Linked DNA regions of Bombyx mori. The protein of the gene in region 1 interacts with the protein of each later gene in a pairwise test. Links are inferred from orthologs where the notes say so. Each region holds a gene or a part of one and is shown on either strand. Other genes may lie near its edges.

Evidence for each region.
Region 2: the proteins of E3 ubiquitin-protein ligase Su(dx) (region 1) and UBE2L interact in binary tests that used the Caenorhabditis elegans proteins (3 or more experiments, as listed by UniProt). The link is inferred for Bombyx mori from reciprocal best matches to the Caenorhabditis elegans genes wwp-1 and ubc-18.

Annotation. Positions count from the first base shown.
Region 1 is NC_085110.1:8,433,220-8,437,518, forward strand, and holds the start of E3 ubiquitin-protein ligase Su(dx), read right to left. Parts: upstream 2,808-4,299; 5' UTR 2,698-2,807; exon of another isoform or gene 2,498-2,697; 5' UTR 2,433-2,497; exon of another isoform or gene 2,385-2,432; intron 2,363-2,384; exon of another isoform or gene 2,164-2,362; intron 1,777-2,163; 5' UTR 1,693-1,776; coding exon 1,623-1,692; intron 1,510-1,622; coding exon 1,222-1,509; intron 990-1,221; coding exon 751-989; intron 395-750; coding exon 171-394; intron 1-170. UniProt on the Caenorhabditis elegans protein: E3 ubiquitin-protein ligase which accepts ubiquitin from an E2 ubiquitin-conjugating enzyme in the form of a thioester and then directly transfers the ubiquitin to targeted substrates. Ubiquitinates klf-1.
Region 2 is NC_085122.1:5,771,089-5,775,133, reverse strand, and holds the start of UBE2L (ubiquitin-conjugating enzyme E2L), read right to left. Parts: upstream 2,811-4,045; 5' UTR 2,640-2,810; coding exon 2,613-2,639; intron 2,335-2,612; coding exon 2,239-2,334; intron 1,802-2,238; coding exon 1,615-1,801; intron 1-1,614. UniProt on the Caenorhabditis elegans protein: Ubiquitin-conjugating enzyme E2. Accepts ubiquitin from the E1 complex and catalyzes its covalent attachment to other proteins. Required for diet restriction-mediated lifespan extension, probably acting as part of a complex with ubiquitin-protein ligase wwp-1.

The DNA of each region.
Region 1 (4,299 bases):
TTTTTAATCAGTTTATACTCCAATGAATTTAAAGAAAGTACATACTTATTCTTTTTTTTTTTACTTTCCTAACTTCTCGAACACTGACCAAACAGTATATTGTAAATCGAATTGAAAGATCTACCAGCTAGTATGAGACGCGTTAAATATTTATGAGTTGGAATACTTACCGTCTACCATAACCATCATATCTCATTTCCCACCCAGGAGGCAAAGGCTCCTCAGCAGCATTAGGGTAAGCAGTATTAGCAGATGTTGGCTGTGTTGATGTTGGATCCTGTGTACCAGGCAGGCGTGACTGCTGTGAGGGGCCTGCAGTTTCTGATGATGACTGTGTTGCAGTACTCGGTAAATGTATAGACCCATTGCTCATTGGTGGAGGTCCTGGAGGTGGCTTTAAAAATGAAAAAAATAATTTATACAGAACTAACTTTTTCTTCTTAGTTGTATTGACCATATAAACACTATACTTTGATGGAATGTGCAAAATATATCTTTACTCTTTAATGAAAGTTCTTTACAATCTCAAAACTTTAAAATGTAATTTAAAACTAAAATATAAATAGATCAAAAGATAAACCTTTTTAAAATAGAATGGGAAAGCTTAAATTAGTCATGAACAATTTAATGGAAATTAATAATAATTCATGAATAAATGTTATTACTCAACCAGGCAGCCTTGTTGTAGTAGATGGATTGTTTCTATTTTAAATTTTTTGTATGATACAAATAATAGAAACATCAACTTACTCCAAGTGTTAGTGATCGCATCATGGATCTAACAGTCTCAGGATTGTTGCGCATTCTGATTCTGGCTCGCACCCCTTCATTAAGGGGAGCTGCAGTATTTGCCGTTTCACCAAGTAATTCACGTGTTTGTGTCAACACTCCAGGGTCAATTCTTAAGCCATCTAGAAGCAACACCAGTTCTGCTGTTTTTACCTCAGCATTTCCACTAGTATTCTCTTGAGAAGATGTTTTCATTAAATCTAAAAAAGTGCAAACATTACAACAAGTTTTGTTTTACTTGTTTACTGAATTTATATGAAGCACAATTTCACAAATTTTGAATATTGTAATGTCTTTCTTTTACATTCTTATTATATTGAAAAATTGTACTTATTTTAAAATGAATTCTCAGTGAAGAGAGTTTTATAAGGCTATATTAAATAATCTTCAATTATTCTTAATTTCAACAGAAACTGGTTCAGTTTAACTCACCTAATGTAAGTTCTAAATTCTCACATTTCCCATTACAGTAAAACAAAACTTTTAATAGGTTCACTTTTTTTTCACCAATCACATTGTCTTTCCTAAAGCTATGATAATCTGCAAGACGGAACAGTAATTGCGATTGTGGCGTCACCAAAATAGTAAGATCTTCTTTCCATTTTGGATGCAAGGTGTTCCTTATAACTTCAGTCTTTCTCAATATTTTATCATCAATTATAACTTGCAGGTATGGATTTGGTTTGAACAAGCCTGAATTTTTTATATTTGCTGATTCCACTAAAAATATACAATGTGTGTTAGAAGATTTGATAATTTCATTTAATATCATTTGCAAAAATATTTCAAGATTAATTTTCAATCAGTTTAGATCAAAATGTATTTGAACTTACCTGTTAAGCTCAGTTGATGATATGTGGACACAGAAATTGGAGCAGTGAGTGAAGATATATTTTCATTCATAGTGTATGCTCTTAGTTAAACCTTTTGAATGAAGCATAATATTGTTTTATTTAGGCTGTGGTTTCATCTTAATACTGGACATTTCTGGGAAAGAAAAATAAAATATGGAGTTCTACTTTTCACATTTTATTCAGTATCATGAATAATTGAAGTTAATGTTTTATAAAATTTAAATTAACGGGCTATAGGTGTTAGGAATACTTGTCCCATAAGGCAGTAATTATAGTTTAAAGGTAACATTGATAATGATTTTGTACATTGTATTGAAAATTTAACCATATGTATGAAGTATTGTATGGAATTATTAATTGGTTTGTCCTTATTATTTAGGTTGATGATCAAAATAGAATAAAGTTTAAAATTTTATTACGATTTTAATGGTAATAAGTTTGAAATTAAATGGGCTTCTATGCTGTTTTTTTGTGTGTGAAAAATACTGTAGCAGAACACTGTCATTAATGTTGCTATTACCAAACCAAAAGAAAAATAGTAATTTTTTTTTGCTTCCAATTAACGCTGCTAAATTACCGATCCCGATCTGAAAGCATTTGCCAATAAGTTGATTAAGTGTTTTACTGGACAATTGATTATTATCTGTCAATGACTTAAATAACCAGCTTAAACGAGAAGACACTTATTGTTTATACGTCTTGTAACGATAAACAAACACGAAGTGCACAATACAAACATACCTCCTGAAACAATTATAGTATTAATGTTACACAACAATGAATTATTACCATATGAAGCGAGTTCGTCCGAAGCTAAGAATCCTTCGAATTATCTTATTATCGTATTCTTATCACTGTGAAAGGAAACGTAAATAACGCCACATTCTCTTTATCACATTACTTATTGAAATCTAGCGCAGAAGGCACATAAATACACGTACACGAAAATCTGAATGTATACAGAAAATTTTAGTATTTTTTTAAATTTATTAAATGATATCCTGAGTAAATAATTTTTCACATTCCCTGAAATTAGTCACAGTATGTCACGCACCTGTCACGGTCGATCGATTATATTAATGATGTCCATTAATTTATCTCAACCAATATACCTAGTAATTTCTAATCTACCACGTCCTATCGCAGAGTATGTCTGTACATAATACCTATAAATTAGAGGTTACTGAAGACTATTAAATCGATTTTATACAATTTCCACTAGTTTTCTATATATCAAATTTATCTACTTATACTAAAAAGATAAATAAATAGTGAAACTGACTAATCACTTATGTGACGGAGCATCTTGACCGTAAGTCGAGCACCTACCTATGCCTTACCACCTTTTACTGGTGGTAAGGTGTCCTATGAACCTGCATGGGTAGGTACCACTAGATGCCTATTTCTGCCGTGAAGCAGTTAATTACGTTTTGGTTTGAAGGGTTGACAGCTGCTGTACTGTAAAAACGGAGAGTTAAAACTCATATCTCAAGGTGGGACACGTTGGTACATGCGCTTACGTTGTTGATACATGGCTCCGGTAACGATTTAACAGCAGTTGGGACATGAGTTCGTTTACTGCAACTAGCATAAATCGCAATAAAAAAAAACCTATGGTGGAAGTTTTGGTAAGCTCATTGAACGTGATAAGTTAGGCTAGGACCCAAAGAGGACGCCCGCTGACTATTAACGACGTAACAGGTGACCCTGCTAAGTTCAGTCCTGGGAAGCTCGCACAAACACCGTTATATAATCGTCTTATAAAAGTCGGAGACCAGAATGGAAGACAACGATCACACGTGGGGTAGACCAGGGGCTCTACCAGAGCCCAAGATAGCTCATCACATAACTTGATTCTGTTACGATCAGCTCAAGTTACGGATGATGCCAAAAGTTGAGACTTCGATCTCACGTCTCAAATTGCGAGTTGATGTTCAGCTGATGTCCAGCGTACTTTTTTGTTAATTTTTAACTATTTTGTCTTGCAATGGAAGGACGAGAAGCGAGACAAGCAATACAATGCGTAGTGCAAAAGCAATCCTAAATCTAAAGCGAGAGTAAAATTAGTGTTAGTGTGGTATCAGTGGAATAGATAAATACTAGTGCGTATTATATACTATTGAGTATGGAACCATTTGTGTGTTTGTTTCTCAGAACTGTCAATGAACAACGCTCAAGAGAAAGCTTGCTCATAATTTTATACTATACCGTTAATGTGTACTATTAATAGTGGGTTTTACAGTATATAATGTAATTTCATATTAAACTTTATTTTATAAATGAGCTCGAGATCACAAAACGTAACTAAGGTTCACTAAAACATTTCATATCGGTCATAATTATTATACGTCAAACCTGAAGAAAGACTAAATTAACAAAACAAAACAATTCACACAATTCCACTCCCAGCATTTTCGCCCAAAATTGTTAATTTGGTAAGTTTACTGTGTATCATATCGTAATCTTGACCTCTTAAAAACATTAGTGTCTGAAAAGAATATCTTTGTCTGATTGACACTTAAGCGCCTTATTCACGATCCATCTTGCTGTACGTCCCGCCAAGGCCATGCACGATGCACGATGCAAAAGGATCATGAATAGGCTTGACGTACGTCGATAATTATTATTAATTGTTTGCTGGATTTGCACGACCAAT
Region 2 (4,045 bases), on another chromosome or scaffold:
TCAAACGATCCGTGAGAATGAGTTTATCGACAAACCGAACGGCCCTTTTCTTGATGGGAGTCAAATGGAAGAAGCTGGTATTTCGGAGCCCCGGCCCAGGTATGAGAGCAGTACTCCACGCGAGGCCGGACTTGTGCTTTATAAAACAAAAGTCTTTGCTGTCCAGGCGTGAAGTACCGCTTCGCTCTGTTGAGGACTCCCAGGATTTTAATGCCAACTTGGCTTTGCCCAACAAATGACTCCGAAATTGGACATCGCTCGAAATGTCGACCCCAAGTATCCCGATACTCTAAGGTAAGTTGCAGGGATACTCCTTGGAATTGAGGCGTCATGATAAAGAGGTCCTTCTTTGCAGTGAACGCGCAAACTTGTGTTTTTAACGGGTTGACTTTCGGACTTTCATCCCATTCGGAGACTCGCCCCAGAAAGTTCTCCACTTCAGACACAAGTTTTGAACATCCCTCTTGCACCACGCTCCGAGAGAGACTCTGAGGCCGATATATCGCGTATCACCCGTGTTGATATCCGCATAGCGATGCATGCCGTCAATTGTCATTGATATACAGGATAAGCGTGGGGAGGGCCGGACATTGTGGAACGCCAGCGTTAATGGTCATGGTCAGAGCAGTCAACGTCTACAACGACCGTGATGCTCCGCTCACCCAAAAAGCTAGCGATCCACTTGCAGAGACCCTCGGGGATTCCGTAAGATGGTAGCTTCGACAGAATTGCCCTATGCCAGACCTACCAGAATCTACTATTATATCGTTTTTGATTCTCACTATCTGACAGTTGTCTGATCTATACTTTTGTAATTTTATTTAAGTGTACAATAAGGCATTATCTTATTCTTACTCTATGGCTGTAAGATTAGATAATTATCTGAATATTGGCAAACCATACTTTAAGTATTTTTTTGTTCAAGACCTTCTTAAGCTTCGAATCTAAGGGTTTCTTAACAATAAAAAATAAAATCCGGGTTCTGTAGGCTTTGTCTTGTATTATTGAACAGTAGTGTTCCTGAATAAGATATTTATTTACAAATGAATGTACAGATGAGAGAATTCCAAAAGAGCCAATATCAGTTTTCCAGGGGTGACATAAGCAAAAACTTATTTTGTATAAACAGGTCTAAAAATTGACCTCTATTAATGAACAGAAGTACTTATTTGAAATTTTCAAAATACTGTTTAAATTGTGTTATGTGTCACAACTTGTTATAAGAATGACTAATTGTACTTTGAAAAAACTCAACAAATTGATAAGAGTGTACAGGTCCATATCCTGGAGCAGTTAGATCTCCTTCAGAGGCACTCAGGCAGTTGTTAGCAAATTCCAGCTTTTGCTGAGCCTGTGCTTTCCCTTTCTTTGCAAGTTAGAGTATTTAAAGTAATTTGGCAATGGTAGTCTGAGGCATGAGTATGTTTTGTAAAAGAGGTTATCTTGCCCATTTTGTGAATTCCTGTTCCAGATGTTAGTGTAGTGTAGTGTAATTCCGCATAAACCTCATTCTCTGAGATTGGGGTAACAAACATTTATTTTGGGTTTAATGTTATATTCACTTTTATTTAAATATTTTAGATATTCTATGGACCTAACATATCACTACTTTACCTTGATCAGTCTTGGTAGCAGGCTTCCAATTTTCTGCACTAATGATGGGCAGGCACACCTGACCCTTTTCATCAATGTTAGGGTGGTAAATCTTTGTTTTGAAACTAATTTTCGGGGGTTTGAATGGGTATTCTGCTGGAAAGTTAATCTCAATGCGGAAAGCACCTTTGTTGTAAGGTGGGTTGTCCTAAAAGAGAATATTTAGTTATTAATTAAAAATATCACTTGGGGAGTGTATAACAGACAAGATCTTTTACCTATGACAACTAAATCAAAATGTTTGTTTTACATGATAAGATTCTTTTTATTAGATACATCTGACCATGAAAGACTACAAATACATACATTATCACACAAAATTGTTCTAGCACATAACTCATGACTCACCTAACATTATACAGATATTGAAATCCATACCTAAAAGTACACCCTGATAAAGGTTGAACTTGAACACTTGCATTACAATAATGGGATACCCCTTCTTTCTGATCAGAATACATGAGACAATAATTTTGAATAAATTTAATTGAAACAATAATTTACTGATATTGTTCTTTGTGTAAATATATTAAAATATCTATAAAAAAAAATTACAAATTCACTACTAAATCAATGGTTACTTACTGGAACAATTAGACCTTGCCATGTTAAGATGTTGGACTCATCAACCTGTATGTCTCTGAAAGACTTCAGGCCAGACTGTCTGATGTCATTAAGTTCCTAAAAAATATTATTGTGTAGTATTATGACAGTAATGGGAGAAAGTTGCTGAAAATATACTTTTTTTAAATTGTTCTCGTTGTAATAACTATTTTAGGTTTGTGACATTCTCTCGATTTGATTGATTTACTACATGAAGTGTTTAAGCAGATTTGACAATTCGTACAGCAACAAACTTTCGTAATTAACTTTTAGGTTAAATTTACGGGTAAAACTATACGTGGTTTAAATATATATTCGTCCCAAAGTATCAATGAAATACAAAATATATTTTTTACTTTTTGTAGTCTTCTCGTTGCAGCCATTGTACAAAATTTGCTAAAATGTCCCAAAATATTCCAAAGGTATTCTTTTTTAAAATTCAAATCGATTAATTGTCATTCCAATCAAACACCATAATTACGCAGCACAATAGAAATTAAGAAACTGAATTAACATGGAAAACGTCAATGAATTCAGTATTTTATCACAGAAAAACGGTGATCGGTGACTGTACTAAACTTTATTTAGTGTTGCCACCTATTTTTTTTAATTAAGGGGCTATGATGCAAACCGGTCTTTTAAAATAATATGATTGTTGATTGATTGTAACAAGAGTTAAAAGAGCACTAATAAAGTTATTAAAAATATATTTAATAAAGCTATTCCCTGTTTTCCAATTACAGCACAAGAGCGCATTATGCGGCATAATGCTCAACGTTGAATGTTTCAATGGTTAATGTTTCAATCGAGTCGGTATCGATTGCGAGTATCACGCTAGAGCATTACTTTTGGGAGTGCTCGATTGTGCGAAACGTTGCTGTAGTGGAAACATTCAACGTTGAGCATTATGCTGCATAATGCGCTCTTGTGCTGTAATTGGAAAACAGGGACTATATCCAACTAATAAATCAAAATTGTTCAATGCACTATTTTCTACAAACGCTTTATTAATGATGTTGGTTTGTAGCGATTGTATTTTCTGCGATCTACGTTGTATTACAGATTAATATATTATAACTGGTGCTGATAACGTACTGGTTACTACAGCTAATGCTCATTTCTTGTTAGTCTATGCTTCTCCCTACCTTTAACCGCCATTGACTTTTTGGCGGGAGCGCGAGGAGTAAAGTTGTGTGATTTGTTTTATTTTGTCTATTTAGTGTTTCTTCAGGTTTAAATGTGTAATAACGGTGGTTTATTATCTGTTTAATGTTTGTGAAAGTGCACAAATGTGGGAAAATGAAACAAAGCCTCTGGACGTAACTTCTCGGGATCCTCCAAAAAGGCTACTGAAAAAATCTCAGTAAATGACCACCATTTTACTAAGATAATGTTTCATCCCATATCATGTCATTTCATCCCAATTGGTTAATATCTCAAATTAATCATCTTCATTTCATTTCGTTTCACTACATATTATTATCATTTTTCATAAAAATAAGAATATAAATTAAAAATAAGACATCGCTTAAAGGTCTCAGTAACCAGGTCATAAAATCATTTAGAATTAACCGCCATTTAATATAGCATCTGCCCACAGCAATGTTAATGAATGGTCCGAATGGTAAACAGTCGACGTCGCCTTAAGCGCGTCATTACGGATCGTCCCGATCCGTTAACAGTGCCTTTAGATACCTCAAGCAAAGGTCATCGTCCTCGCCGAACACGTCGCTTGCGACCAAGGGCTTGACGAGTAAATTACCCAATAGACACAGCCCACAGAGTTTCT